Linked DNA regions of Cricetulus griseus. The protein of the gene in region 2 interacts with the protein of the main gene of each other region in a pairwise test. Links are inferred from orthologs where the notes say so. Each region holds a gene or a part of one and is shown on either strand. Other genes may lie near its edges.

Region 1 (11,522 bases), about 33 Mb from region 2:
ACAGGGTCTCTCACTGGCTTACCAATTAGGCTAGGTTGGATGGATGGCCAGTGAGCCTCAGGAATCTGCCTATCTCCATCTCTATAGCTCTCCAGTGCTGGGATTATTACAAGTGTGTGCCAGGTTTTTGTTTTGTTTTTAAACATGGGTTTGGGGGCTCTGAATCAAGTCTTCAAAAGCTTGCTTCCCACTGAGCTATCTCCTCAGACCCTCCACTGTACTTCTCAAGGAATCAGGAAATGCTTAACTTTGGAAAGGGTACCAAAATACAAATATGAGTGCCTCCATTCAGTTTCAGGAAGTACTGGGTTTAGAACTGAAAACAGTTAGGAAAGAAGGTTTCCCATAGGACCTAGTCTTAGATTGTTCCCACAGGAGGACCACTGTTCTTCTCTGTCAGATCTTGACCAATTCCTGCCTGCCTGGATAGCATGGCAGAAGGGAAACTATGGCAATCTGTAGGATCTGATGAGCTTTGGGGCCGGTGTGAGGTATTCTAAAGGAAGATAGGACAGAAGCCAACAGATACCTTCATTTCTTTTCCCACTTGGTTTAGACCCAAATCACCAAAATCTTGAACTGAGATTTACACTCCTTAGCACAATGCTTTAACTGTGTTGGTTCAATATTATCCAGTGAGTCACTGACTTAAGAATTCTACCTCCTCTACCTTCCCCTTTGTAGGCAAAAAGCATGCTTATCGATTATCAGCATGGTAGTACTAACTCCCTATTATTGACCTGGGAAAGATTAGCATGCCATGCCTTAATCTGTCTGCCTAACAAAACCCAAATTTACAGGATTGAGTATAAATGTCACCTGTGAAACTAATAATTATCTTACTACAGCAAAATTCATCATTGCTCAAGAGTCCCAGAGAAAATGTAATTAAGACCAAGACTGAGGGGCCAGAGAGATGGCTGAGCAATTAAGAGCAACAGTGCCTCTTGCAGAGGACCTGGGTTCTGACAAATGTCCACTTATAAGGGATCTGACACCCTATTTTGACCTCCAGAGGTACCAGGTAGGCTTGTAGTACACATATATACAATATTCATGTAGGCAAATACCCATATACATAAATTAAAAATAAATGAATTTCTAAAAAAAAAGTTAGGCCTGCCTAGGCAGTAAATTTAAAACCAATATGAGCAACGTAGTTAAAAGTTAAAAAAGTGGCCGGGTGTTGGTGGCGCCTTTAATCCCAGCACTCAGGAGGCAGAGGCAGGTGGATCTCTGTGAGTTCGAGACCAGCCTGGTCTATAAGAGCTAGTTCCAGGACAGCCTCCAAAGCCACAGAGAACCCTGTCTCAAAAGACAACAAATAACAAAACAAATAAGTTAAGAGTTTTTAAATAAAAAGTAAAACAAGAGCTGGAAATATAGCTCAGTGGTAGAGAGCTTGGTTAATATGCTGTATTTTACTGTACTAATTCTTTACTGTATACACAGTCTTATATGTGTATAAATAGTAATATATAGCATATACCATTATAAATATGTATATAATGTATTCACACATATTTTTAAAAAGATCAAAATTGTATTTCTTTTTTTTTCTTTCATTTTCTGATTTTTCAAGACAGGGTTTCTCTGCGTAGTCCTGGCTGTCCTGGAACTAGCTCTGTAGACCAGGCTGGCCTTGAACTCACAGAGATCCGACTGGCTCTGCCTCCCTAGTGCTGGGACTAAAGGAGTGTGCCACCACTACTGGGCCAAAATTGTATTTCTTTAAAAACCAAAGTCATACCACCATACAGGGAGGTACCCACAACCCTTAAACCAAAGCTACATAATTCTAGCCCAGAAATCTACTTTTCTCATCTGGTTGACTCCTTTTTCGTTGTTTTATTTTTCATTTCTTTTGGTTTTTTCGAGACAGGGTTTTTCTGTGGCTTTGGAGGCTGTCCTGGAACTAGCTCTTGTAGACCAGGCTGGTCTCGAACTCAGAGATCCACCTGCCTCTGCCTCCCGAGTACTGGGATTAATGGCTTGTGCCACCAATGCCCGGCTCCTTTTCAATTCAGTTACTGTTTGTAAATCTTTCCAGAAATATTCTTGGGAAGTTGGAGTATGTTATGTGTGGCTTTAGGGCATCCTTCCTCCCAGACGGCCATTGCACTTCCTTACTTTAAGTTTGCTGTTTCACACTCCAGTCACATTTGGCCTCCCACATGCTAGGCAGGCTGTACCACTGACCCCCTTCCCACCGGAAATACTTTTGGGTTAGGAAGCAGGCGCCTGCTGCTTCTCCTACCCCATCTATGCCTCCTTCTCAGATGTCAAATTTATTAACACACATAGACAAGCCAACCACAAAGAAGTAATTCCTGTGCTAAAGCAAGGTTAAGAGAAGAGACAGGACATGATTTTAAGGACAACAAGAAAGAGCCTTCTTCTCCAGACATACTGTTCTAACTCCAGGTCTATGTTTGAGATTCTACATTGCTAAGTCCACTCTTCAGCTCCCTAAATATGTAGAAACCTTTGGAAATAATTAAGTCACTGTGAATTATTTACATTTTAAATTTGAGTGACTCCAGATACAACCTTTATTCTCAATCTCTTTATACCCAGAATCTGGTAAATGCTCATCATATACTCTACCACTAGGCTATAATCCTAGAACCCAGATCTTAAGAAAAAAAAAAAAATCTTTTGGGAATTATTGACAGTGCCTGCTGTGTAGCTTAGCCTGGACTTGAACCTCCAGAATGCTGGAATCAGTCAAGTGCCACGCCCAACTTCTAAATCCTTTCTTAAAGGAGTTTTTAAGGGTAAGGTAGGAAGTTGAGGGGCAGTGTTGATCTGAGGTTTTTGCTGGACACTGTACAATTTAGCATACTAGAGGGCTTCAAAGAGTCAAAAAAGTCAAACGAGTCTCTGATACTTCTAAATTTGGAGGAAACCCAATTTAAAATTCAGAGAAATAGGGAAACTTCTTGGGTTACTATATACCAAGCCAGGTACAAGACCCTCTTCTAGAACCATCACTCTCTCTGAGATAAGGAAGAAACAGTCAAATACTGGGAAAACTTGAGGGTTTCAGATTCTTCACTCTAGGAGAGAAGCCAATAACTGTCCCAAACAAGATGATTTCCCTTAATGTTTCTTTCCTGCACATAAAAAAGTTTTGTTCATGTATTTGGGCAGTTTTTAGGCTACCCAGTGCACAACTGTGTGAGTGTGTATTGAAGAAGGCAAATGATAATTCAGAGGACAACTCTATGCTTGTTCTGAATTTGATAGGAGACAAGATGAACTGTAAAAGAAACACAATAAATAACAGAGTATCATCTAAGAGTATTCTCTGTGCAAAGAACAAGAAAATAGAATTCAGTGAGAACATGAAAACAAAACAAAACAAAAACTCTGTCTTTCATGGCACATCCCTCAACAGAAAGATTACTTTTATTTAATATCTCTAACTGTCCTAAATGAAATAAGCTAGCGTGGAAAGACTCAGCTTTTATGTATCTCTGTATACCTTAAACATTTAAAAATATGTATATGTTACTTTGGTAATTAAGAAATGTAGTGATACAGGCTAGAGATGGCTCAGCAGTTAAGGGCACTTTGCAGAAGACCTGTGTTCTCGGTTACCAACACACATGGCAGCTCACAATTGTCTGTAACTCATTGCCAGGGGACCCAATATCTTTTCTGACCTCTGAGGGCTCCTGCACACATATGAGGCACATACATACACTCTGTCACACATACATACACATAAAATTATAAATATATATATATATATATATATATATATATATATATATATAACAGTGATAAATAGTATTAGTATAGAAAGAAAAGGAGAGGTAGGATCCTAAGAGAAACCAATAGGGCTCAATGATATATGGAAAACTGACAGGTCTCTCATTTGTCATTAATAATCTGTCTTCTAGGCTGCCAAACCTGAGAACTGAACACCCACAAGCTGTCTCTGACCTCCACACTCTGCACTGTGGCTCACACACACACAGACAGACACAGGCACCCACACACAATAAGTTTTAAAGGCATCTTCATTCTCTATAATCCTTCTTTTCCTAAATTCCTTGGAGTTTGACCTAACTAGCTAGTCACACAAAAGTGTTTTCTAGAGAAGTGGACAAAGGAAAAAGGGACCTGCCAACTTCCCCAAATCCCTTTAGAAATATCACCTCACAGTTCCAGGCCTGGAGACCTCCATTAACTGTCTAGGAAATGCCCAAGCATTTCACAGAAACTTCAAAGAAGTTTCAACAAACATGGCCCATGTTTTAGTGGCTGAGGAACCCTAAACCCCTTTCCGTGCAGATGACAGAGTCCCCAATTCTAGGTAAAAGTTGGGTCACCACAGATTGACCACATTATGAAGTGGGTAAGACTGGCAAAGCAAACCCCAAATTCTTAGTTCTTTCACAGTTCAGACAACGGGGGGGGGGGGGCACAAACAAGCAAAAAGAAAGCAGACTGCAGTCAAGACTAGCTTTGAGGCCAGGCAAATTAAAAGTTGGGGGGGGGGCGGGGGCTGAACCTGGAGCCACGGAAAACATGATTTTTACCTTTGTCTTCATTCCTACTTCTCAAGTGCCCCCAAAACTTGAAACCACCACATCTAAAAGGCTAAGGGAACAAAAGAGTAAGGAACTGCAAGATACAGAGCCTCTCCTCACCATCATTCCAGAAGTTCCCATAACTGATACCAGGCCCTGCTTCTACTTCCGTCTACTTTGATGTTCTAGCTCAGCAATGCATTCTTCTTCATTTACTGAGACTCTTGCTTCACCGAGACCAAATCCCTCTTTATCGACAACACCAGAGCACCCCCAGTCCCCCTTCCAACAGCCACTTGCGCTGAAAAGAATGCCTCTCGCTCGGCCGGCTCCGCACCCCCGACACCGGACGTCTGTCTCTAGAGACCCAGCCTCGGCTACCACCCTCGGGGCTGGGCGTAGCGCTGACCCCTCCACACCTCCTAGCCAAACGGGCTTCCCCTCCCTCCGTCGCTGCCTGGTCCCCGACCCCAGCTCCTCCCTCCTCGCCGCGGTGCTCGGAGGACCAAGGCCGGCCCTGGTCCACACCGGCTCCGGGTCCCCGCGCCCGGCCCCTGAGCGGCCGCAGCCAGAACCCAGCCGCCTCCCAGACTGGGAGGCTCGGCTCCCAGCCCTGCCGATCACCTCCTCAGCGCCCCCACTAGGCCTGCCGGGGCGGCCCCTCTGCCCGCTCCGGGGGGCTAGCTAGCCCTGGCTTAGGCCCGAGCCGCCTCGGCCGCAGGCCGGGCTGCGCTCCTCTCTGGACCTCCGCCTCTGCCCTTGCGGGCTCCATCAGCTCGGTACCTGGGGCTCCGTCTCCCCCGTCGGGCCCAAGCCTGTGTGGAACAGACAAACAGCTGGTGCTCAACCAAACCTCCTGCCCCCTTCTCCTCCTCCTCCTCCTCCTCCTCCTCGCCAGGGCGAGGGCTCCAGCCAATCGCAGGATCACCCGCCTACTGTGGAAGGTGGGCTATATGTGCGTTCACCCGCCAATCTTCTGGAGAAAGGCGGGCTTTGGGGGACTGTCACCAACCAGTACAGGGAGAGACTTGACTGGCGGGGCCGCGAGCCAATACCTAAACGAGAAGCCTTGAAGATTGACGGGGTGAGCAACCATTAGAGAGAGATATCCTGGGAAAGAGGGCGGTGCAGTACTGACGGGCATCTGCGTCAGCCAATGAAACCTCGACACCCGTGACACTCCTCCCCCGCCTTTTGACTCGTAAACATCTAATCAGGTGAGTGAAGCAGGCGGGACAAAAGGAAACCTTAACCAGTGCTAGGACACTTCCGAACTTGAGTGGCAGGCAAGGCGAGCGCGAAAGCTGCCCTGTAAAGGCCGGGTGTGGTGTGGCTTGCATCCCCGCCTAATCGAGCACTGGGAGGTGGCGGCAGGATTAGGCGTTCTAGGTCATCCTCCCTTCACCTAGCAAGTTCAAGGCTAGCCTGGGCTCCTTGAGACAAGGTCTCAATTTAAGAGGAGGGGAAAAAAAAAACCCAAACCCTGGGTTTGGAGGCCCACGCCTTTAATCCTAGCAATCTCCATGAGTTCCAGACCAGCCTGGTCTACACAGCACATCACATCGTGAGACACTACTAAGAAAAACAAAAACAAAAAACAAAAAAACAAGAGACTGAGCCGGGCGGTGGTGGGGCACGCCTTTAATCCCAGCACTCCGAGGCAGAGGCAGGGGGATCTCTGTGAGTTCGAGGCCAGCCTGGTCTACAAGAGCTAGTTCCAGGATAGGCTCCAAAACAATACAGAGAAACCCTGTCTCGTGGAAAAAAGAAAAGAGAGAGAGAGAGACTGGTATTAACCTTGTCTTCTTCTGCTTACCCTAGTGCCCCGCCTTCCGTGTCAAATTGAAGACATCCTATCTGGGAACTTTCTCTCAGAAGTTCTTTTTAGAGGAGCATTAGAGAACAGGGGTTTTTGGGTGGACTGCCTATTTTTTTATGGTCAACAAAGAGCGGTAGTCTGAAGACATTTTAGACCTCCTAAATTGTCATGTAATTGGTATTTTCTGAATTGTGTGTAAATGTGAAAATATTTAGACAACTATGCTAAGGATTTTTTTTTTTTTTTGGTAGTACTGAGGATTGAAACGAGGGTCTCTCTCTGGCAGGCTAGGCTAGAGAGATGGCTCAGCAGTTCAGAGCAAGTACCACTCTTGGCAGAAAACCCAATGTCGGTTCCCAGTACCCACACCACAGGGCTTACAACTGCCTGTAACTAGCTGTAGGAGATCCAGTGCCCTCTTCCGGCCTCTGCAGGCACTTGACACTCATGTTCACAGACCCACACATGTATACATAATTTCAAGACCAAAACAAAGAAACAAAAAAACCTACACAAATGGTAAAAGCCTACTGGGAAATGGGGTGCTGAAGCCCACTCAGTCAAGTTGCTGATAACAGAAAAACTGAAACAGCACTCTATTCATGTGCACGTGTGAGCAGGAATAGGAGAGGTTTAGCTGGTCGATAGGAAAAGGTAGGAAAGAAGCTTCAGTTTCCCTAAGACAATACCCAATTTGCTCACACTCACAACCATCCCAAGTGCAAAGGCATGGGAGGATGTCCTGCATTTACAAACATTAGGAAAAGGGCTCTGAAATCACTTATTCACATTCAGGTTGTGACCCGCTCAGTTCTTTCAGAAAATATATAAATGATAAAATATGAAAGAGATCCACTATACAACTGAGAATAATTTCTTTTAATGAATTACAAACTAAATTACAAATAATATTAACAGAACACTGGAGGACAAGGGGTAGAGGGAGAAGATCATAAAAGAAATATTTTCTTTCAACAATTGCATTACAAAATTCCAAAGTGCACATGGCAACAAATCCATCCACACTGCCCCGCCCCCCAAAAAAACAAAAATCAAAACACTAAAATATCCAAACTACTATAACTTGAAATATAAATATAATTGTTAACTCTTTTATAGAAAATGTCCCCCGATGACCTGACCAGGTCAAAGCCTTTCAAAGTGACATCTAAAGCTTCACTTCCACTATGGAGTCAGGGGTGACTCTCAGAGGAAGAAGATGGCAACAGGGACCTCTGACAAACTGAAGAGCTAAAACGCCAAAAAGAGGGGCTAGAAAATCTGGCATACGGGTGGTGCATTTGCTTAGTGAGGGCGAGGTCCTGTGTTCAGTTGTTAGCACCAGAAAACAAAATTACTAAAAGAAAGATTCCAGTGTCTTTCACCTTGCCTTGTGAATTATGGTGAACAGACCAATCCCTATCCCCCTCCTGACTTCTTGCCCTGCAGAAGGTAGACAGAGTGCTGAAAGGGAACATTTCTTCTGCTTCTCCAGCTGGGCCTCCTTGATTGTCGGGCGAGGCCAGACACTACAACTAAGGTATAAACTGTTTGGATCTATTTTTTTTTTTTCATCTAATTCATTAAAATAGACCTCTGTGGCTTGGTTCCTAAATGTCCCAACTTATCAGTTGGCCTTTATAAAACAGTGGCACCAGGAGGTCTGGGGTGTGTCTTCCTAAACATGGGACACAATAATTTATAAGACTGGGATGGCCAAACTTGACATGGGGGTGGGTAGAGAATGGTCAGTTTTGTTTTGTTTTGCATACCAACCCTCAGTGATGACTAAGAGGGAGAGAAGGTAGTGGAAGCTGGGTTAAGTGCATCTGATACCAAAACTTTTTCCTGTCACCTCATCTTTCCCTGCACCTCTGAGTCCCGGGAACTGGCTGGCCAAGAGAAAAAGTGAGTGCTAAGACAGCCAGAAAAGAGTAGAAGGCTGACCTGTGTCCAAAAGGCCCAGAGTCAAGTCAGACCAAGGGTGAGGAAGGCTTTGGGAAGGACATCACAGCCGAAGGTGGGGTACTGGCTTAGTCACATCCTGGAAGAAAGGGTGGGCCAGGGCTGCTTTGGCTGAAATCCGCTTGTTGGGGTCATAGTGCAGCATTTGCTGGAGGGAGAAATATATTCTGACTTCAGTGATGTAACAGTGGACCCAATGCAGAGCAGGTGTGCTCGGAAACCTGGGACCCAGACCTCACTTCTTCCCTTCTCCCAATGCTGAACCAGCCTACCGATGAGCGGAGGAATGGAGGACTAGGGTAATTCTAACGGAGTTGAGGGGATCTGCTTCTCTTCTCTGGGGAATGGGAGAGGCGCTTATGTGGGCACCCCCTCCCGGCTCTTACCGATAACAAGCTCCGCCCATCTTCATCCAGTGGAGGCACAACTTTGCTAAAATCTTGCCGAGCCCACTTCGGGAAACTCGGCTTATAATCAGGCATAGAAGTGACTCCCGGCCAAACCACCTCATCAGGGGTCCCCAGAGTCCGGAAGATCCGGAAGAGTTGGTCGATCTCAGAATCTCCGGGAAACAGGGCCCGCCGGGTCACCTGAAAATGGGGAACAAGAGGAAAGGCCAAGCCCCACATTGACGTCAGTCCACACTGCCCCTTGTTCGGAGGAGGTTCCCACAGGCAGTGGAAGGTCAGCAGGGCCCCATGACTCCCCTCCCCGGGGCTTTTCATGGGGTCGGTCATACAGAACTTGAGACAATGAAGTCCCTTCATCTGCCTCCTCGCCCCCTCCTCCTTCCTTCCCCCAACCATGGCTTTGTCGATCCCCAAGGCTGGGTGGGGCTGGGAGGGGGTGAATGTCTGGGGTGCCACTGACATGTAGCAAAGGGATCCCAAGCCACTCACGGGGTATGGGGTAGACACTGCGGTCATCCCCCCTCCTTGTGACGCAGCCACTTCTAGATAGGAGCACAGCGGGCAGAGACTGTGTCTTCCATTTCTTCTGTGTTCCCCACAGCACTTAGCATGGTGCTGGGTACACACTAGGTGCTTAACAAATATTTTTTGATGAATTGAGAGAGGAATATGGGCAATTGTAAGGTACTGGTGGATAAATTCACATTCTATATGTATATCTATATCTAGGGGAATGGTCTCCAAGCCCCCAGGTTCAACCCAGATAAAAGACCAAAAAAAAAAAAAAAAAAAAGTTACTGAGCTGTTGATCCACTGTTGCATTAAATGGGATGGGAGCTCCCATACTGAAGCTATGCTATGCTTCAAGGATCCTTCAGTCTGAAAAGCCAGCGGTTGAGGAGGCAGGGCATGACCAAGTCTACAAAAACGATAGATGTGGAGCAGTTGAATGAATTTAGCTTTACTAAATTCCAAGAACGGGTCTATAGGTTAAATGAAGGAGACAAAAATCAGACCTCTCCAAACTTCTGACACTCTGACATGATGCTGTCATCTACAAAGTTCTGGAGAGATGGCTCAGTGTTAAGAGCACTGACTGCTCTCCCAAAGGACCTGGGTTCAATTCCCAGCACCCATATGGCAGCTCACAACTGTCTGTACTCCAGTTCCAGGGGGCCTGACACCCATGGCAAAACACCAATACACATAAAAATAAAAATAAAAAATTTTTAAAAAGTAAAAATAAAAAACAAAAAGGAAGGAAAAAAATACCTTTAAAAAATAAACAAGGGGATGAAGTGGGAGGAGGGAAGGGAGGGGAAACTTTGGTTGGGATGTAAAAAAAATAAATAAAAATAAAAAAGTAACAAAACAAAGGAGCAAAACAAAAATGCCCCACCACCAACAAAACAAAAACCCACCCTGTTTAAATAAGTCTATGATTATGTGTTGAGGCCTGTGGGCCACCTGTTGTACTAAAAGGAATTCACTCTTCCAAATATTTGAGGATTAAAGCTGAAACAGCTGAATGAGTATGGTGGGTCATGCCTGTCAGCTCAGTCCCATGAGCTAGATGGTAATGGCGGGAAGTGGAGCTAAAGCGGGAGAGAGCGAGACTATAAATGGGCTACACAGTGAGACTGTCTCAAAATAAAATAACAAAAACAGAAAACAAAACAAAGCAGCTGATGGGTACGGAATGGATTTAGCTCATTTTGGGTAAGAGATAAAATACTAGGTAACTAAATCTATTTAGGAATATTCTAAAACTGAGTTGGTATCAGGGCCACTACCTCTACAGAGGGTGATACTTGAGAGAACTCTGTGATAAAGGACCACTTCAGGCCAAGAAATGGGTTTTGCGCTTGGATGCAGGCAAGAGTGGGCTGGATAGAACCTGGCAAGCCTCCATACCATTTCAGCAAAGATGCAGCCCAGGCTCCAGATATCCACGGCTGTGGAGTAGTACTTGCAGCCTAGAAGGATTTCAGGTGCTCGGTACCACAGGGTCACCACCTGGGAAGCAAGAGGACAAGGTCACATACCTCAATTCAACAAAACCCTGCTGCCCTCCACCCTCTCTTTTTAAGATGGATCTTATTATGGTTTTTTACTTTAATAATGTGTATACATGCATTGTGTATACCACAACTGTGCAGTGTCCTCAGGGCCAGAAGAAAGTGTCTGATCCCTTGGAGCTGGAGTTAAGGGTGATGGTGAACTGCCTGACACAGTTTACCTGAAAGAGCATCATATGCTCCTCACTGTTGAGCCTTCTCTCCATCCCCAGTTGAGTATCCCAAAACCCCCAGATTTGGGACGTTCCTGGAAAATCTGAGTCATTTAAATGGTATGCCAATCAACCTTCCTGGCTTGTATCAAAGGCCAGGTAATCTCATAGTATGAATTCAGTGCATATCCTAAGACCCTTTGGTTAAGGGCTAGACAGAGGATCAGAAGTTAAGAGTGCTTGTTGCTTTTGCAGAGGATCCAGGTTCAATTCCCAGCATCTATATGAAAGCTCACAACAGTCTGTAACTACATTTCCAGGGGATCAGACACCTTCTTCTGACCTCTGTGAGCACCAGGCAGGCATGCAATACAGACATACATGCACTTTACTCAGACACTTTAAATAAATAGGTAAAGACCCTTGGGTTGAGCCGGGTGTTTGTGGCCACGCCTTTAATCCCAGCACTTGGGAGGCAGAGGCAGGCGGATCTCTGTGAGTTCGAGGCCAGCCTGGTCTCCAGAGCAAGTGTCAGGATAGGCTCCAAAGCTACACAG
Region 2 (11,060 bases):
TATATCCCAGAAGAAATAATTTAAAGAACTGGGAAATCAAGGAAATGCTTAATTCTCTAAAATATAATGGTTTATATATTTATTTTAAAATTGTTATTTGTGTTCTACTTATCACTAACAAAATTTTAATATTGCCTTAAAATTGCCTTAAAATATCTCATCAGATGAACATGATTTCCTTAGCAAGGGCCAAGTTATTTTCACTTTCTAACTTAATCCAGTCCTATCCACCACATTCTGTCATCTGAGAAATTCAGATAATAAATCCTAGACAGTCTACAACTAGCAAAGGTTTTCCAGGCCCCTAAAGAACCTAGTCAGTGTGTTATTCCCTAGGCACACATGAAACTATGTGTCTTCTCTTAAAGATATAAAATATTTTATGTTGAAGAATCTGAATCTCAAATCATTTAACATAATATAGTAAGATATTTTTAAAGGAATAATTTTTCTTCAAAAAATAAAGACAAATGGTTTATCTAACTTCAAATACATTAGATTAAAAAGTGATTCATGGGCTGGAGAGATGGCTCAGAGGTTAAGGGCACTGTCTGCTCTTCCAGAGGACCTGAGTTCAATTCCCAGCAACCATATGGTGGCTCACAACCATCTATAATGAGATCTGGTGCCTTCTTCTGGTGTGCAAGCATGCATGCAGATAACTGTTTACATAATAAATAAATAAATAAATAAATAAAATCTTTAAAAAAAAAGTGATTCACTATCATTGATCCTTTAATGCAGATTTTTTTTTTTTTTTTTTTTTTTTTTTTTTTTTTTTTTTTTTTTTTTTTTGGTTTTTCGAGACAGAGTTTCTCTGTGTAGCTTTGGAGCCTATCCTGGCACTTGCTCTGCAGACCAGGCTGGCCTCGAACTCACAGAGATCCGCCTGCCTCTGCCTCCCGAGTGCTGGGATTAAAGGCGTGCGCCACCAACACCAGGCAATGCAGACTTTTATGAATAAGCTACATCAATGAGGAAGTGAAAATCCAACTTGAAGAATGTACACTAATTCTGGAGTTTTCCTTCACTCAATGTATGTGGCTTATTGATTGCCTGATTGACTGATCGATGGACTGACTGTCAACTGACTGTCAACTCTCCAGAGCGAGTGCCAGGATCGTCTCCAAAGCTACACAGAGACTAGTGGGTAGGTCTGCCTATGGTGCACTTCTTTGACTGATGCGTGAAGGCTTAGCCCACTGTGGGCAGTGTTAGCCCTGGGTGGGTGGTCCTGAGTGTGAGAAAATAGGATGAGCAAGCCAGTAAGCAGCTCCCTTCCATGGCTCCTGCTTCAGTTCTTGCCTCCAGGTTCCTGCCTTCATCTCTAGTCCTGGCTTCCTTTGATGATGTACTCTAACCCGTAAGATGTAATAAACCTTTTCCTCTCCAAATTCTTTAGTGTTTCATCACAGCAAGAGAAAGCAAATTAAGTACTCAATAATATCAAAGTTAAAAATTCACGACAAAGTTGAAAAGACAAATTCCTAATGAGTAAAACACTTTCTGTATTTAGTATAGTATCACAGATCAGAAACATGACTGTTCTTAAGTGACACATATACACATTCCAGTATTTAAAAATTTTTATGTTAACTATTTCAAACTGGTGAACAGCTGGAAATGAATGCTCAAGAGAAACAGCTACCATATTACTGCTGAAAAGTGACTAAACCAAATTTTATTGAACTAAGTGAATGATGGAAAATGATATTAATTTTAAGTAACAATAGTGTTATTTTTCATTGACATTAACATGAGTAGTATATAAAGCAGCACACACACACACACACACACACACACACACACACACACACACACACAGAGAGAGCCACACTGTGGAGTCTCTAAGAACGGTGCACACACAGAGAACCACAGGGTATAAAGTGGACAGTCAGCTTACATTTCCTTCTCCTCTTCAAGCTGTTTACTCAGTTCTGTGGTTCTAAGCTCGAGGTCTATGTTCAGCTGCCTCTGCTTCTGTAGACTCTGCAAAGCCTGCTCCTTGCTTACTTTAACTTCTAGAGCATCAGCTTCTAGTTTCTGTGGGTAAAGTACAGCATCCACTTGAATTTGACAATATCTAAACTATTACTAAATTATAACATTCAAATTGTTATTGACAAAATAACTACATTTACAGAAACCCTTTCTGACACCACTACCAAATGAGGAAGTTGTTCTGCTTAGAATCTGTCAGAGAATCTAGACTAGGTACTTTATATAAGTCAGCAGTTATTTTCAAAATTAATTATGAGAATCAACTTATACATAAATATTTATTCTAAAAGCAAAAGTTTAGTAATTCGAGTTTGAAAAAAAAACTAAGTAACTGGTCATTTCTGTACCCACTTAAAATATATTACCTGTGCATATGCAGTTAACAACTATGAATAGCAAGATGCTTAACGTACAAATGAACAAATTTGTGGTGTAGTCCTTGAACTGACATCCACTGACCTTAAACATACAGCACCTAAAATTCTTGACTTTGCTTAGTGTCTTAGTTTAGATTTTGTCACTGCTTTTTGTAGCGCATCAGACTCATATTATGCATAATATTATGAGTTGGATTTTTCAAATTTATAAAATCAAAGTACTACACATAGGTTTAAATGGAGGAAACATGCTTTCTATTATCTTTTGGTATGTATTTACGTGTGTATGTTCATGTGTGTACCTTTGGGGAGTGTGTGCATGTGGAAGACACATGTCAAAACTAGGTGGCTTTTTAACTCTCCATCCTACTTTCTGAGACAGCGTCTATCATTAAACTAGAAGCTTTCAGATGCAGCTAGGCTGGCCAAGCAGTAAGTCCCAGCATAAGCTTCACAGGCCCTTTCTGCCATGCCTGGCATGTTACACAGATGCCATGTCTCCAAGCTCAGGTTACATGGCAGGACTTCACTGACTCAACCATTTCCCCAGCCCCCATTTAACTATTTTCTTAAATGAAACACAAAACATAGACATTATACGTGCCAGTGGGGTACCTAATAATGTCATGCTTAAACCGAGTTACACATATCTCTTCATTTTCCTTTTCTCGATGCTGAAAACTTTCAAAAATCATTTTTCTAGCCTTTTGAAATGTGCAGTATAAGGTGTTATCTAAAATCATGTGTCATGTGACAGTGCCCCAGAAATTCTTGTTATAATTACAACTATTTTAGAAAGGTTCCCAAATAAGAGTTCTCTCTGCTCACTTTTCTGTAACCCGTTTTTGCCTACCTAGTCTTTGCAACCATATCTAATTTAGCATTATGACTACTGTTAGCATTAAAAAGAAAACCAAAAACAGAGCTGTAGAGCTGCAGTCATTCTCTCATGTTATATTGTCCATGTAAAACAGTCACCTCATAATCCTGTAATCATACATCATGCTTCAACTGATTATGGAAGTGCAGGTAACAGGAAACCTAAGGATATTTTCGTTAAGTGCTGATAATTCTAAAGTCAAATTTTCCTCTGATAAGTCTAATTATCTCATCTTTTTAGTAAATCAACACCTCACTTAGAATTATCTTAAGGTAAGGTTCAGCTTATAATGGTTTAAATGCATTACTAAATTAGGAGCAAAATCCAAAGGGCGTATAAAGTTTTAAAAAGAAAAAAAATGTCACCATACATGATATTGTATTGGAATAAGACATAGGGAAATGGAAAATCAAAGGGGAGAAGAGATTTTAGACCATCAGAATTATAATGTTTGGTGTCTCCTGAAAATAGTTTACACTTTACAATAAAACTGGCACTATGTTAATTGCTATTTATCAAAGTCACCCATCAATGAAGGAATGGAAAATAAAGATGGAATTCAAGAGTAACTGATAAAGTAACTGTTGAAGTTTTATACCACTTCACCTTTCTTTGTCACTTAAGTCTTTGACTCTGGGAAGGTCATCAGATTCCATAGTTGCTGAGTAGGAAATACAACAAATTCAACTGTCTTATACAAACCCTAATTTGGCCTTCTAATGCTTCAGCTTTCTGTTCTAAAGAGAGGTTCTTCTCCCTGTACTCTTTTAGATGGCTCTCCAGCTGACTGCAGTGTTCCTGCTTCTCCTGTAACTTTGCGGTGACCTGGTCCAGCTGCACAGTGACCTTATTTAACTCCTGCAGGAAAACACATTTGAAGAAAAGTTGTAGCACCCCAATATTCAGTCACAGTGAAACTGAAAACTCCAATTTTATATAATAAGACATTCCTACCTAAGGAGAAAGATTGAATTAGAGTAAAGGGTAAATATAGGAAATGGGCCTAGAGCGTCAGTATTATTTTAGTAAGTATATTCTAAAAGTCCTCCCTAACAAAGGGGAGGAAGGCTACCAGCACTTTGACAGTGACCCTAAAGCAGAAGCTTCTATTAAGAAGCCTGCCATCGCAGGGCGTTGGTGGTGCACGCCTTTAATCCCAACACTCGGGAGGCAGAGGCAGGCGGATCTCTGTGAGTTCGAGGCCAGCCTGGTCTGCAGAGCGAGTGCCAGGATAGGCTCCAAAGCTACACAGAGAAACCCTGTCTTGAAAAACCAAAAAAAAAAAAAAAAAAAAAAAAAAAAAAATCCCAGCACTCGGGAAGAAGAGTTGGAGGCTGGAGGCCAACCTGGTCTACAGAGTGAGTTCCAGGACAGGGGTCAAAACTACATAGATAAACCCTGTCTCGAAAAACCAAAAAAAAAGAAGGCTGTCGGTCTACCTCACTTCCCCAACCAGTGGTTCCTTATGTGAAAAGGCAACAATCCCACACTTGAAAGTAATATTTCATCTCTTACTATGGCCTAGGCTACCTAGGATACCCAATACAATATTAGGAAACCCATCCACACCTGAACACTAGTTATCTAAAAAAAATAAAAAATAAAAAAATAAAAGATCTCTCTGGCTCCTGTAGTATCCACTCAATTGGTTCTAAAAAGTCTGAAAAAGAGGGTTTGAAAGCCTATCACAAGATTATAGAAAGCCAGTCACCATTTTAACAAATTAGTAATTAATTTAACTACAAAACAGGATGCTATACTGTGACAGTACCAGATCCCCTACCTGCTGTTTATCTTGTAGTGCGTTTTGAGCTGTGTCCAAATGATTTTGAAGATCAGCTCTTTGAGCAGTTTTTGCTGCTTCTGCTGATAGTAACAATTCAGTTTTGGCTTTAATCTGAAACACAATTTACAAATTACTGAACTCCATATTTAACTGTTGTCTTTCCCTTCCTTAAGACACATTAGTTTTGTCACAAAACTATTAAAAAATTAGGTTCTATAGTAGAAAAGTAATAGCTGAGACACTGAAAAATACATATGTGAAAATCTCCCAAATAGAAGTAGGTAAGGGAGAGGATAATGGTTAGATAACAATAAGAGCTGTTCCTCTGTGATACCAACACATGCTGGTGTGCCCCTTTGTGGAAAAAAAAAAATGGTTCCAGGACTGGGGATACAGGTCTGAGAACCCAACAGGTAAGAGGCAAAGGCAAAAGGACTGTGAGTTCCAGTCCATGCTACGTGCTTAGACCGTATCTTAAAAAGGCAAATAAACTGTATACTTTACTTTCCTGGGGAGACCAGAAAGAAATGTCAAATTTTACCAGTACCACAATAAACTCAACTATGCCATAGAAAATGATGGCTCTTAAGATCAAGGACTTCAGTATGGAGCCCAAACAATAAAACAAACCAGAAGTATGTTTAAAATTCACTCTTTCCAGGTAACTTCTCATATAAAGAGTTTCATTTTTGATTCTCATTGAAAGCCAAGAAATCACACATTTAAAACCTCAGGCTTTCCTCAATAAGTTTTGAAACAGTCAAATGAGCTGAAAGTTGTGCCTTCTTTATCAAAAGTGACATTTATAAGTAGTGAAATAACTTTAGCACAATTCACCTCTATTAAGAAAAGCAAAAAGTAGAAAAAATATAAATACATTTGAAATTAACATATTTTAGAAGAGTTAAAATGATACTCATTTAACTAAGTCAAGAGAGGATGAGTGAACATAAAAAATTTAAAATATACACAATAACCATAATTTCAAGCAGAAAGGAAAATCTTCTCCAAATAATTATTTCTCAGTAACTCAATTGTTACTCTTCACAGAAATGATGTTTGATCAGGTATATCTCTATCTTGAGTTCAAAGTGAAAACTAAAGAAATCTACACTTCAAGAACAGGAAGTAAACATTCACTGGCAAACAAGTTCCAGAGTGTGAAGAACTTATTTTTCTGTAAATCAGCTTCATTTACATATAGCAGTTCATCTTTGTGAAGAACTTAAAATTCATGAAATGTTTCAAAATAGATGTGACAGATTTTCTAAAGTCATGTAATATGTGAAGACCTGAGGGAACTGATTAATACCACCACTCTATCTCAGAGGGGTCTAATGGCAAAACAAACAAAAAACCCAGCCCATCTCCAGTCCCTTTAAATGCATGGAGATCAGAGACCCTGCCACTGCTGCAACCTGCACTGCTGCAGCTCATGCATTAAAGCCCTTACAACAGTAAGGCACTAAGAGCAGACTGGGACACTGAATGTGCTAATTTACCTTCACACTGTGCTGACCATCCTACTGGGAAGTACCTTGGAAGTGGGAATCAAAAGTTACATTACAGAAATCACCTTTGCATAGGGAGAAGGAACAAAAATACCTCTGGACACAGGAAACCTCAAGAAACTATATAATTTAATTTGTATACTCATTTTCCACTGACAGGTAAAGAGAAAAGAATGTATACCACGTATGGTCTACAATTGATGTTCTATGCACACACACAAATTAAACAATGCATTACCTGTACGTCAAGCTGAGAGACCTTCTCCTTGCTTTCATTTAACTGACTGCTTAGTTCATTGATGCTGGTTTCTAGGGAAAGAACACGGTCTTGTGCAGCTCGAAGATGTGCCTTCTGTTCCTGTACCTGGTCATGCAAATTCTCCTCTGCTTGTTTATGGCTTTCAGACTGATTCTTCAGCTTCTCCATTAGTTGAATCAGCTATTACACATGAAAGAGTCTAATTACAAAGTTTGCAAACCACAGAAAAAATGAAGAAACTCAAATTTACGCATCAGAATACTGAACTGTTCTATAATAGGTAATTTCAAGCTTTTTCCAGTAAAAATATCCATATCTTTATTAACAAGTCAATCTAATATCCCAAATCCTAAGAACATCAATTTCAGATATATTATTTTTAAAACATCTCTATTCAAGTAAAATTTATACACAATAAAATTCATCTAATTTAAGTATAAAACCTGAGACTTGATAAAGGTGTGCTCTTATTAAATTATTAACACAATCAAGGTAAAGAATATGTTCATTATGCAAAAATACTAATCTGATTAACAAAGAATTCTTTGTATACTGCAGGTATCTTCAAGTTTTCAGACAAATTATACGTTTTTGTTTTTATTTTACTTTTGCAATGTTATCTTTTCAAAAGCATGTATTTTTTAAATTTAGATGAAATCTAATTCATCTGATATTTTTCACATACATGAGAGTTGAGTTCTTTAAGTCTGGCTTTATATTCTAGTAGGTCTTCCCGGCTGGAGCTCATTATTCTTTTCTAACCTACAAGACTGCCCAGGGAGGCCCTCTTCAGCTTTATTTGGAATTTTTCAACCATTTTGTTTTATGTTCACTAATTCTTTTCTGTCAATTTTCAATTCAAGTAATTTTTCTATCTTTAGCAGTTCTCTATGGGTGTTTTGTATCATTGCCACTTCGTGTGCCATTGTTATGGTTTGTCCTTTACATCCATAGGCACTAGGGGGTATTTTAAAGTATTCATCTGGTGAGTCCATCATCTTTCATTTCAGGATCTGTTTCCACCAAGTTTTTTTGTTTTGTTTTGTTTTGTTTTTAAGTGCAAGGCTGATTTTATTAGAATTTAAGAGAAAAGTATAATATAAATTAGGTGAAAATCCCAGCAACCACCAGAAGATAACAGGGAAACCATGCCTTTCAAGTCACTCATGAACAGACAGCTTACTAGGAGAGAAGCGCTGTCAGGAGTGGAAGTGGACTAAAGAGCTATGGAAGGAGTCTCAAGGTCTCCACTGGATGACTTTTTACTGTCGATGGTTCACACTCTTCTGCTGCTTCACATATCCAGTAACCTTTAGTCATTTATTGTGACTAATCTGAATTGTGCTGTCTTCTTTCAACGAATGCTGTGTTTTGTTCCAGCAGTAGGTGGCTGCATTTGTGGCTCACTTGGGCCCTATCAGGGTTTAGCTTTCCTTTCTGTTAGAAGCGGCCTATAGGAGCTTTTACTCTATGTTTACTTCTCATGTAAGGTGTGGTATGTCTGGTGGCCTTCATCTCTGACTGGTTGGGCTTGAACATCTTTTGTGAGCTCCAGTTCACTGCCTAAGTACAAAACTTAGAATTCAACCAAAGCCCCAGCAGGCCCCTAGTGAGATTTGTGGTGCTTTTCTCTGCAAAGCTAATTCTGACCTCACACTTAGCCTTGCAAATTAAGCTGCCTTAACCTCTATGAAGCTCCTAACCTACACTCATCAATTCAAATACATTATCAAAATATAAATAACTGTTGAGTTTGAAATATTATGCAATACTCAGTAATAGCTAATACTTGATTACCACATTTAACTTACTAATTTGTTACTCATTTCTTTTTTTAAAATATCACAAAGGCCAGGAGACAAAGTATATACCATCAGTCACATGTCTACTTTTCCAGGGACTTAGGTGAAGTGATTTATCTGTGGTTACTATATAGCATAAATAATAAAAACCCAGAGACAGATATTGGGCTTCAAGCTGAAGATCAGAATAGCAAAACAGCCAGCCACTAGCTCTTACCTCTGAAAGGGATATCCTGTCTCCAGGAATCCTCAGAGTGGCTGGAGACTGAAAGCCGCATGAGACACCGAGCTCCTGTCTTATATACCTCTCTAGTGTTGGGATTAAAGGTATACACCACCACTGCCCAGCCTCTATGGCTAACTAGTGTGGCTGCTGGGATTAAAGGTGTATGCCCCCACTGCCTGGCCTCTATGGCTGTACCTAGCTTTGCATTCTGATCTTAGGACAAGCTTTATTAGATCATAAACAATGTATCACCACATCACACAGGTAGTAAATTACCTCCTGGGATGTCTAAATATTGTACTGGCCTTCAACACACAGTAACCTACCTTGATGATAAATATGATGATATAAAAAATAACTTTTTAAAACAAGAAAAACCAGGGCCATGAATTGTTTTTATAAAACATTTAATACAATTAACAGGGATTTCAGTAAAGTTTAGAACTATAATAACCATTTACAAACGTACTTGCTGTTGTAGTGCATGGTTTTTCTCTTGCAACTGGTTAAGAACAGCAGTCTCTCCTTCACCAGCTTGGATTTTTGCATAGAGGTCCTCTCTTTCCCTTTCTAGTAAGGAAATATTTTCTTTACTCTTCTGCAGTAAAGCTTCAAGGTTCTGAATCTTCTGATCCTTGTCACCAATCTGACGTAACACTTGTTCCAAATCATTCTGTAAAGAATTAAAACTATTTTAAGGATGGAAGATTTAAAAAGTTATTCCTCAAACATGAAATGACTGATAATAATTTTAATCATCCAAAATGTTAGTCCTACATCTTAAAAATTATTATACTTTATTGTGGCAAATTAATAAAAACCACCTTTTTAATAACATAAGTCCACATTATTTACAAGCAAGAATTTAACAAAAACATTTATAACACAATTTTCATAATACTCTGACCTTACTGCCTATGCTCTGATCCTTTTCAGACAGTGGGACTTACTCAGTGACTGCACCAAGGGCACTCCTACCTCAGAGTCTTTGCACTAATGATCCTGCTGTCTTCAATGCTTCCCCAACAGCCAAATGATCCCCTCCCCCCTCTTCAATGTTTGCTCAATTGTCACGTTCTAGATCCAGCCGCCCTGCCCATTACCTCTAACACATTATAGCTTACTTATTTCTCTCATGTTTATTTACCTCTTTCCGCTTCCCATTAGAACATATGCTACATATATATCTTTATTATTCATTGATATACATCCAAGACATATGACACAAAGGTTCTAAAATAAACACTGAATGAAAACAACCACTGCAGCTGTGTAAGGTGGTGTACACCTTTAATCCCAACACTTGGGAGGCAGAGGTAGGTGATCTCTGAGTTCAGGGCCAGCCTGGTCTACAGAGTATGTTCTAGGACAGCCAGGGCTACACAAAGAAACTTTGTCTTGAACCACTCCCTCCTCCCCCGACCCCAAAAAATCATTGCACTCTCACACATGGACACTTAGGCAAACTCACTTCTGTACCCAGCAGGACTCTTCTAAATCAGCAAAGTCCTCTTCTTCCTAAATATTACAAAGAGCATCCTGCAACAGATCACATCCACAATATCCACTTTCTATTAATAACCTGGTCCCAATGGCTTTGGCTCTGCCTCCTTCTTTTTAATAGTCAAACAGTTTTGCACAGAATAAAAGCCCTAGCTTTACAGTAGCTCATGTAATATCGATGACAAGTAGACAGCTAGCATGTTTAATAATTTGTGTCAGTATTAAAACATTCAAATCAGTCACTTTTCAAGTGTGTTTCTCATTCCTCTAAGCTTTGGTCATGAAAAAACACATTGCCTGTTTTCTCTCAGTTTCTCTTCCTGCCATCTACTCTTTTTTTACTATTCTTCTGGAATTTGAATTCCAGGGTAGAGCTTTCAGCAGAACTCAATTTCCACACAGCACTGAAATCTGGTTTTCACTGTGCAGACTCCCCATCTCTGTCTCTGCCCAGTCAGGCTATTCCACCAGCAGGCCAGAAGGCTGGCCTTTTCACCCTCTTTTTTTTTTTTTTTTTTTCCTTCTTCAAGACAAGGTTTCTCTGTGTAGCTCTGTAGACCAGGCTGCCCTTGAACTCAAAGAGATCTGCCTGCCTCTGCCTCCCCAGTGATGGGACTAAAGGTGTGCACTACCATGGCCCAGCTGCCATCACCCTCGTATAAAAAAGCCATGTGCTGGTTTGGAAGTATGCTATTCTTCATTCTACCCTCTACTG

What was found.
Region 1: the proteins of early endosome antigen 1 (region 2) and Rab5b interact in binary tests that used the Homo sapiens proteins (3 or more experiments, as listed by UniProt). The link is inferred for Cricetulus griseus from reciprocal best matches to the Homo sapiens genes EEA1 and RAB5B.

What each region holds. Positions count from the first base shown.
Region 1 is NW_023276806.1:129,203,266-129,214,787, reverse strand, and holds the start of Rab5b (ras-related protein Rab-5B), read right to left. Parts: upstream 5,468-11,522; 5' UTR 5,325-5,467; intron 4,612-5,324; exon of another isoform or gene 4,551-4,611; intron 1-4,550. Other genes in the region: Cdk2 (cyclin-dependent kinase 2), read right to left, coding at 8,369-8,473, 8,712-8,915, 9,225-9,368, 10,650-10,751. UniProt on the Homo sapiens protein: The small GTPases Rab are key regulators of intracellular membrane trafficking, from the formation of transport vesicles to their fusion with membranes.
Region 2 is NW_023276806.1:161,948,488-161,959,547, reverse strand, and holds part of early endosome antigen 1, read right to left. Parts: intron 9,516-11,060; coding exon 9,312-9,515; intron 6,995-9,311; coding exon 6,794-6,994; intron 5,156-6,793; coding exon 5,042-5,155; intron 4,117-5,041; coding exon 3,961-4,116; intron 2,044-3,960; coding exon 1,904-2,043; intron 1-1,903. UniProt on the Homo sapiens protein: Binds phospholipid vesicles containing phosphatidylinositol 3-phosphate and participates in endosomal trafficking.